2 linked regions of the Oreochromis niloticus genome follow. The protein of the gene in region 1 interacts with the protein of each later gene in a pairwise test. Links are inferred from orthologs where the notes say so. Each region holds a gene or a part of one and is shown in the gene's direction. Other genes may lie near its edges.

Evidence for each region.
Region 2: the proteins of TSC22 domain family protein 1 (region 1) and ccdc90b interact in a two-hybrid assay, tested with the Homo sapiens proteins (2 studies listed by BioGRID and IntAct). The link is inferred for Oreochromis niloticus from reciprocal best matches to the Homo sapiens genes TSC22D1 and CCDC90B.

What each region holds. Positions count from the first base shown.
Region 1 is NC_031987.2:11,265,180-11,268,931, reverse strand, and holds the start of TSC22 domain family protein 1, read left to right. Parts: upstream 1-1,465; 5' UTR 1,466-2,250; coding exon 2,251-3,752. UniProt on the Homo sapiens protein: Transcriptional repressor. Acts on the C-type natriuretic peptide (CNP) promoter. Acts to promote CASP3-mediated apoptosis.
Region 2 is NC_031975.2:32,755,754-32,759,505, forward strand, and holds the start of ccdc90b (coiled-coil domain-containing protein 90B, mitochondrial), read left to right. Parts: upstream 1-1,557; 5' UTR 1,558-2,277; coding exon 2,278-2,329; intron 2,330-2,651; coding exon 2,652-2,771; intron 2,772-2,845; coding exon 2,846-2,949; intron 2,950-3,016; coding exon 3,017-3,118; intron 3,119-3,752. Other genes in the region: alg8 (dolichyl pyrophosphate Glc1Man9GlcNAc2 alpha-1,3-glucosyltransferase), read right to left, coding at 1-65, 172-250, 1,187-1,266.

The sequences.
Region 1 (3,752 bases):
GTATGTTAAAATAGACATAAAATTAATCATTACACAGAATTCAGGTTTATATTATTTAGTTTATCATTGTATTGTTTTCAAGTTAGTGGCTGAAACTACAAGCCTTTGTTTTTAACGAATGCCTCTCTTTAAACTAGTATTAATGTAGGTAACTGAGTTATTATACGTCCCCCAAAAAAGTCTTTTTGTTACTTCCACCATCTCCAAGAGATACATCATAGCAGATCTTACTAATACTCACTCACATACTGTCTTGCTTTTTCTCACTTTCATTCCTCTCCTCTCCAGAGCATACCTCCACCTCTCTGGACTCTCTCTCACCTGTTCCCTGCTTGCACTAAGACCACAACATCATCTGCAAATATTATAGTCCACAAAGACTCCTTCCTGATCTCCTCCATAGCTTTATGGTATGGCTCAGCAGCTCTTCACATCACCCTTGTTCTTGAAAACTAGTACCAGCACACTTCTGCTCCATTCTTCACAGACACTCTCTCTCTAGGATTTAGTCTGGTGAAAAAGTCCCTTGCCCTCTCTCCTAGACATCTCTTTACCTCCACAGGTATGTAATCCATCACTTACGGTGGATGTTGATTTTCAGTTAAGGGTCTAAATACTTTTTTTTCAACTAAAGAAGAGTATTTTGTGTTTTTGTAATTCAAACAACTTGCCTTGATTTAGAAATATGTTTAAATTTACTTCCATTTTCACTCCTGTGTTATGTTGGCATCCCCTGTGTCAGAAACTGTAATGCATTTTATTTATAAAACTGGAGTATTTCCTGCAGGTTTTTCCACTCTACAAAGAATATTAGAGTGAGCCATACTGGATCTTTTGACTAAGGTTATTAGAGTGTACCATTGGTGTAATGCTACTTCCACTTTTTATAAGACTGGTTTATCGTCTGTTTTATGTATGCTGCTATGACAACTCAATTTCCTTCTGGGCTTAATAAAGTTTCTCTGATTCTGATTCTAAAACAAAATAAAACCTAACTGAAATAATTGTGTGAACTTGGAAAACTATAAAAACAAAAAGGAAATTAGCTTAGTTTAATATGTTAGTTTGGTATAAAATGTTATTATAACTTGTCTGATAAGACTGTTGATGTTAATTGAGACTTCGGATGTCTATAAGACTTTGTAAAAGTTATTTTTATTGTAAAAACGTGTACTCTCTGTACCCTCCATAGAATAAAAATAAAAAAACAAGAAAATCCGATCTGAAAACTAACCGAAACTAAACTGAATGAAAAACAAAAAACTCAAAATTGAATAAACTTTTAAAGTAATGAGAAACTACAAAACTATAATGACTCCATACTGATTTCCTCTGGTTCAAAAAGACCAACAAAACCTATTGTGATAGCCCTAAACTGGTTTTCGGAGGGAGCGGCTGGGCTCGGCACTTTCCGGCACGCTTCGTGGATATTGACGTGAGCTCGTGGCCGCCTCTCCCAGACTGCTTTATGTCTGGCAGCAGCGGCCATGCGCGGTCGCCATATTACTGCTCACCCCTCCCCTCCGGCCCCGTCACAGACAGCGCAAACCACGGCAGCGGTGCGGGAGGCTCCATACTGAACGACGCTACCGCCGGGGAGGACCAGTGATACAGCAAAACCCAAACGAGGACCCAGAGGAATGGATTTAACCCGTCTACGGCGCTTTTATTAGAAGTGTTTCGCCTTTTAAAGCTTCGTGCTGCGGATTAAAGGTGGCTCTCTTTCGCTTCGTTTCCTCTTGTTAAAAGAATAAGAATAAAAAAACCCAGCAGTTTAAACAGCCGAGTTTGTGTTTAGCTAGCCGGTGATGGAGAGTGGCAGCTAGCTAGCTTTTAATATAACGCTAACTTACTCGGCAGCTTTTTTTGCCCGCTTTTTGTGTTCATTGCAGCGTGGCGTCTTTTTCTCTTCAACAAAACATACAGAAATGTTAGCTTGTGTTTAACAAAGACGCAGACGGACAACTCGGGTAGTTAACCGGCGAACTGGCATCAGCTGACGCTAGCGGCCACTAGCTTCTTTTGCCTCGCTAGGATAACGCCGAAGCGAGTGAAAGAAGACAAGGGTGTAAATATCGGCACAACTTTTGCCTCATATCTGCGCACTTCGTTGAAATATCTATTGTTTTTTTCTAGATAATTTTTTGGTCGTTTGTCTGTTGAGCGTAGTTTTGTCAAAACGGCGCCTTTAACGAGCTGCAGCCTTATTGCATACTGTCAGAGACCAACTACCGCCCGGATCTTCTCGAAATGCATCATCCGGACCCTGCAGGAGACTCTGGCAGTGTTAGAAAGATGGCGCATCAGGCTGTCTTTCACAGAAGGGGGAGCAACACTGGCAGCGGGAGCGGCCCTGGGCTGTCAACATCAGCTAACCCGGTGGTTAATAACAGCCACGTACCAGCCGATGACTACCCGCCCTCCCTGTTGATTCAACCTCCTGCTGGCTCATCCTCCCCGGGTCCCCATCATCCTCCTCCCCCCCACAGCCTAAATCTGCTCTCCCAGCCCCAGCCCACACAGTCCACTGGAGCTCAGATAAAGAAGAAGAGTGGTTTCCAGATCACAAGTGTGACTCCAGCACAGGTATCTGTTAGTACCAATAACAGCATCGCAGAGGATACTGAGAGCTACGACGACCTGGATGAGTCCCACACTGAGGATCTGTCATCTTCTGAGATTCTGGATGTGTCCCTCTCCCGAGCTAATGATGTAGTTGGAGCGGAGAGAAGCTCCTCAGAGGAGACGTTGAATAATTTCCATGAGGCGGAGACCCCTGGAGCGGTCTCTCCAAATCAGCCTTCACACCCCCACACCTTGAACCAGGCACAGAAGCAGCACGGTGGAGCCATGGTGAATGGGACTGTACACCATCAACATCCTCCACATCCTAACCATGCCCAGGTCTACCCTCTGTCCTCTGGCTCCGGGAGCACCCCGTCTGGTCTCACCTCTGGAGCTTTACCTTGTGTCACTCAGAAAATGCCTTCTAATATGGGCGGCCCTCAAGAGAGTGTTTCCCAGGCTGTTCCTTCAAGTATCCCCACTCAGCCTACAGGGACTGCAGTCCCGGGATCTATCCCTGGAATGCACAGCTCTGCTGCTGGCAATACAGTTAGCATAGTTAATCCCCAGACCAGCAGTGTTAGTAATGTGAATATGTTGAGCTCTGCCAACGTGCCTGTGAGAGGGGGGATCAGCACGAGTGCTAGCACTAGCAGTGGCGGCTATCCTCTCAATGTGATGAGCAGCAGTGGAGGGAGTGGAGGAGGAAGTGCTGCTGCTCCAGCTGGGAGCAACCTTATGGCCCCCGCTAGCATGATCCAGCAACACCAAAACTTAAACTCCAACATTGCTATGACTGCTACAACTACTGTTGCTGTGAGTGCCACTGGAGGCGTAGGGCTCCCCAGCGGGCTCCATGGAAGAGTTGGATCAGCTGTGCAGCAGCCTGTGAGTGCAATTGCTACAGCTGCGACCACAGCTCCTGTATCATCTGTTCCTGCGGCCCCTGTGGTGGCCACCACCACAAGCTCTCGCTTTAGAGTGGTGAAGCTGGACTCTAGCTCTGAGCCCTTCAAAAAGGGCAGATGGACTTGCACTGATTTCTATGATAAGGAGACCCCAGCTCCTGCCCCCTCTTCTTCTTCTGACCCTGGGTCCCACAGCATACGGCAGTTTGTCTCTGAGAGCTTTGCTGGGGGGTCGGAGAGAGAAAGCACAAGTGGGAGTTCTGTGAGTAGTACTATGAG
Region 2 (3,752 bases), on another chromosome or scaffold:
TGAGACAGCCCGAGCTCGAACCAGGCGAACAGCGGCGGGTAGTCCAGGGTCCACTCGGACGTGTTCTGCAGGAGAGAAACCGCCTCGTCAAACATCAGCGAGCTTTCCCGCCGCCTCCTCACCCACAGATGCTTTCATTTTACAGGTGAGTGTGGGCTCCTCCTCCCTCACCTCATAGTACCACCTGGACACGGGCAGGCTGTGCGTGATGGCCAACCAGTTCCTGTGCACCTCGAAGTCCGTCGACCGGCTAAACACACACACACACACACACACACACACACACACACACACAGCAGTTTAACAGACCAAGCTGGACAGACGGAGGCTTCAGCTTTAAACACGTTTGACCTCCACCTGAGGAGCACCACCTGCACCGAGGCAACAGTGACCATACACACGTTCATCTAAAGGAAAGCAGGCAGGTGCTCAGTCAGTAACACCTGAACTGTTACCGGTCAGAGGATCAATCTGAGCTGAAAAATCTGCTAATGTACTCAAACACTTTCTCATTTCTTAACTTCATACTTCACATGGACCACAAAGGTCACGTGTCTCAGGGTTAAAGGTCTCTGGCTCACTGCTCTGTACACTGTGGGCACCTGTATTAGGTTTTTTACAGAGCACAGAGGTGTTAGCTGGGCTGTACTAATGCCGAATGTTTCAGTGGTTTAAACTGACTCCGCTGATATAAAAAGATCCGATTCATCCGCTGTGCTCACAGAAAAACACGCGGGATGTTTTTAATCGGGAGATTTCCCGCAGTGATCCGGTCCTCACAGACGCAGCACTGCGCTTCATGAGACGTTCGCGGGCTCTGAGCCTCCTGACACTCATTAAAGCTCAGTAGACACGGCGGAGTGACTTACATATGGCGCCTGTTGGATCTGGGGTGTACCTGTACGGTCAATCACCTGTGTAAAACGTCATCACGCAGCGCCAAACCGAACCTCTAAAGAAATACGGCGAATTACTGAGGCCCAGCCTGCAGCTGATGACGGCTCGGGTTCAAGTTCAAACAAACTCGGATTTCACACGAAGTCAAACTAAACGATTTCATCCGCGCACACCTGCCCCCTCGCAGACCCCTAACTGTCATCGCATACAGGAAATGACGTTAACGTGCTGCTGGCTAACGGCCGCTCTGTAATGACCGCGGTGACACAGAGGAAGACTTGGGACTCACTACGCGCTGATAAAGAAGCACTTCAGCAGAGAAACTCCCACAGCTAACGCCGGGAACCAGCTGCAGCTGTCCGCCGCCATGACAGTCGGCCTGCTAACGTCTGCTTCAAACTTTATTGACAAAGCCGAGGCGGACAGTTCCTCAGTGAACTTTATTTTTTTGTTTTTGTTTTTATTTATTTTTTTAAACAGAGTTTAAGAGCTTCCGAGTCCTCAGTTCGTCGTTTCTGTGTCGTTTAAAAATTTATGTAAAAAAAAAAAAGTTCGTCTTTATTATGATACTTTAAATGTCGACACATAAGGTCGGAATTCTGAGCTTCGTCTGTGCTAGTCTTAAATGTCACACACTGAAGTTTCCTCCCCCGTTTAAAACCTTTCAGGTCATTAAAAGAAAAACTTTCAGTTTCAGAGAAGAAAATTAAAAACTATTTAAACTCGCTATCTTTTTATTTCTGTTTTTAAATACTCGTAATTTCTGATTTCACTTCTCTTTTCTTAAATTTTCTTAGACTTTTTGTCCTAAAGTTCCTCTTTCTGCACCACAGCTGATCGTCCTGTCCACCTCCACCTCCTCTATCCCAGCATCCTCCTGTGTCACACCAACCCTCTGCATGTCCTCCTTCACTACATCCATGAACCTCCCCTGAGCTCCTCCTCCTGCCTCCACCCTGTCTCCTCTGTAGATGTCCAAACCAGGTCAGCCTCTCCGACCCTGAGCGGTCCCTCTGATGGACTCGTCCTGCTCACTGCTAATTAATATCTGAACACTTCCAACAACTACACTGATCTGTCATATTCCATCCTCTCTAACTCTTTTTGGATAAAGTGTGTTACATGTAAACATCTGAGAGCTCCGGTCCAAACTGAAGAAGCACAAACGGTGCTGACACCCTCACAGCCGGGGGCGCTGTCTCCCAAACTGTCACGGTCTTTTCTGTGACCCACGGTCCCTGAATGCAGCATGGGTAGGGCCTTGCTCCTTCCTCGGTGTGACAGTTTCCGGTTTGTGAGCGCTGTGTGTGTTTGTGTGTAAACACTCCAAAGTTTTTAAATAAACGTCACAAAAACTCTGAAATCACAGCAGCTTCCGGGATGAACGCGCTCATGAGGAGGTGTTTCTGGCGGCGGGTGGTCACGTGGAGAGGTGAGGCAGAGGACCCCAAAATTCTGACAGACTCACCAAATCACCGCAGACACGCTGGTTTCCGGTCACTGTGACGTTTCTGCGTTTATGTAGTTCATAATTTCCAACAGGAAACGGTCATAAATCAGGTCCTGGTTCTGGTTCTGGACCCAGTCAGTAATGAAGGACAGCCAATCAGAGTCCAGCTCCACAGCAGTGTTTACACTGTGATCTAACTCACCTGGTTAAATTGTATCAAAGTTTAATGTCTGCATTGTTAGGGGCGTGGCCTGTGTGTGTGCACACCTGTACAGTGTATGGATGCAGCCTGTGTGTGTTAAAGGTCTCCATGTGGGGGCGCCACTGACGACCTTCGATGTGAGGAAGGTGGAGCTGACGCCGCTGGAGCAGCGCAAACTGACGTTCGATTCCCACGCCATGGTCACAGAGCTGCAGAGCAGCGGTGAGGTCACTGTCAGGCGTGTTGGCGTGTAGTACCGCTGGAACACGGAGTACTCATCGGATGTTTTTGTGCAGGTTTTGAGAAGAGCCAGGCGGAGCTGATCGTCTCAGCTCTGGTCACTCTTGCCACGGCCAACATGGACGTCGTTTACAAAGACATGGTGACCAAATCCCATCAGGTGGGAACCAGAGACGAGCTCCACCCTCGGGCTGTTTCAACAGAGTGACAGACTTTTCTCTCTTTAGGAGATCGCCCTGCAGCAGATCATGGCTCACCTGGACTCCATCAGGAAGGACATGGTGATCCTGGAGAAGAGCGAGTTCGCTAACCTGCGATCCGAGAACACGGTACCTCGGCTTTACTTCTTATTTTCTCCTTCATTTTCTTTAATCATCCAGCATTCCTAACATCTGGACACCTCCTTGAGTCTGTCACAGTTAGCGTGTTACTCGGATTTGTTAAATATATGGAAGTTTTTGGAGGAAGTTCATCAGGTGATGGTGGAGCTCACATTTGGACCTGTCAGTGCACCTTAATGGACGTAATGAAGCTTCTGGTTCCTGGGACCATAACTCCGGGTTAGGATAAAACTAGAGCTGGGCGATAAAATGATAACGATATGTATTGCGAAATAACTTTTTCTCGATAGAAAAATTAAACTATTGCGATAGGCCTCATCTCTCTTGTCCTCTTAAAAAAAAAAAACTAAAAAAAAAACAGCCAATCCAAATTAAGTAGTGCAGAGCCGAACCAATCACAGCCGCAGCATCACGTCACGTGACTTATTACGTGCAGCACAAGCGCCAAGGCGTATTTGTTTTTGCAGCCGTGCAGCCCGGGTAATGAAGGATAGGAGTTTGCCGACTAGAGAAAAATCAACCGAGAGCGTGAGCGAAGGTTACCGAAGAAAAAACCGATGATGGTTCCAATGCTGGAGAGATTGTCGAACGGAAGGGCCACAGAAGTTCGTAGTGTGAAGGT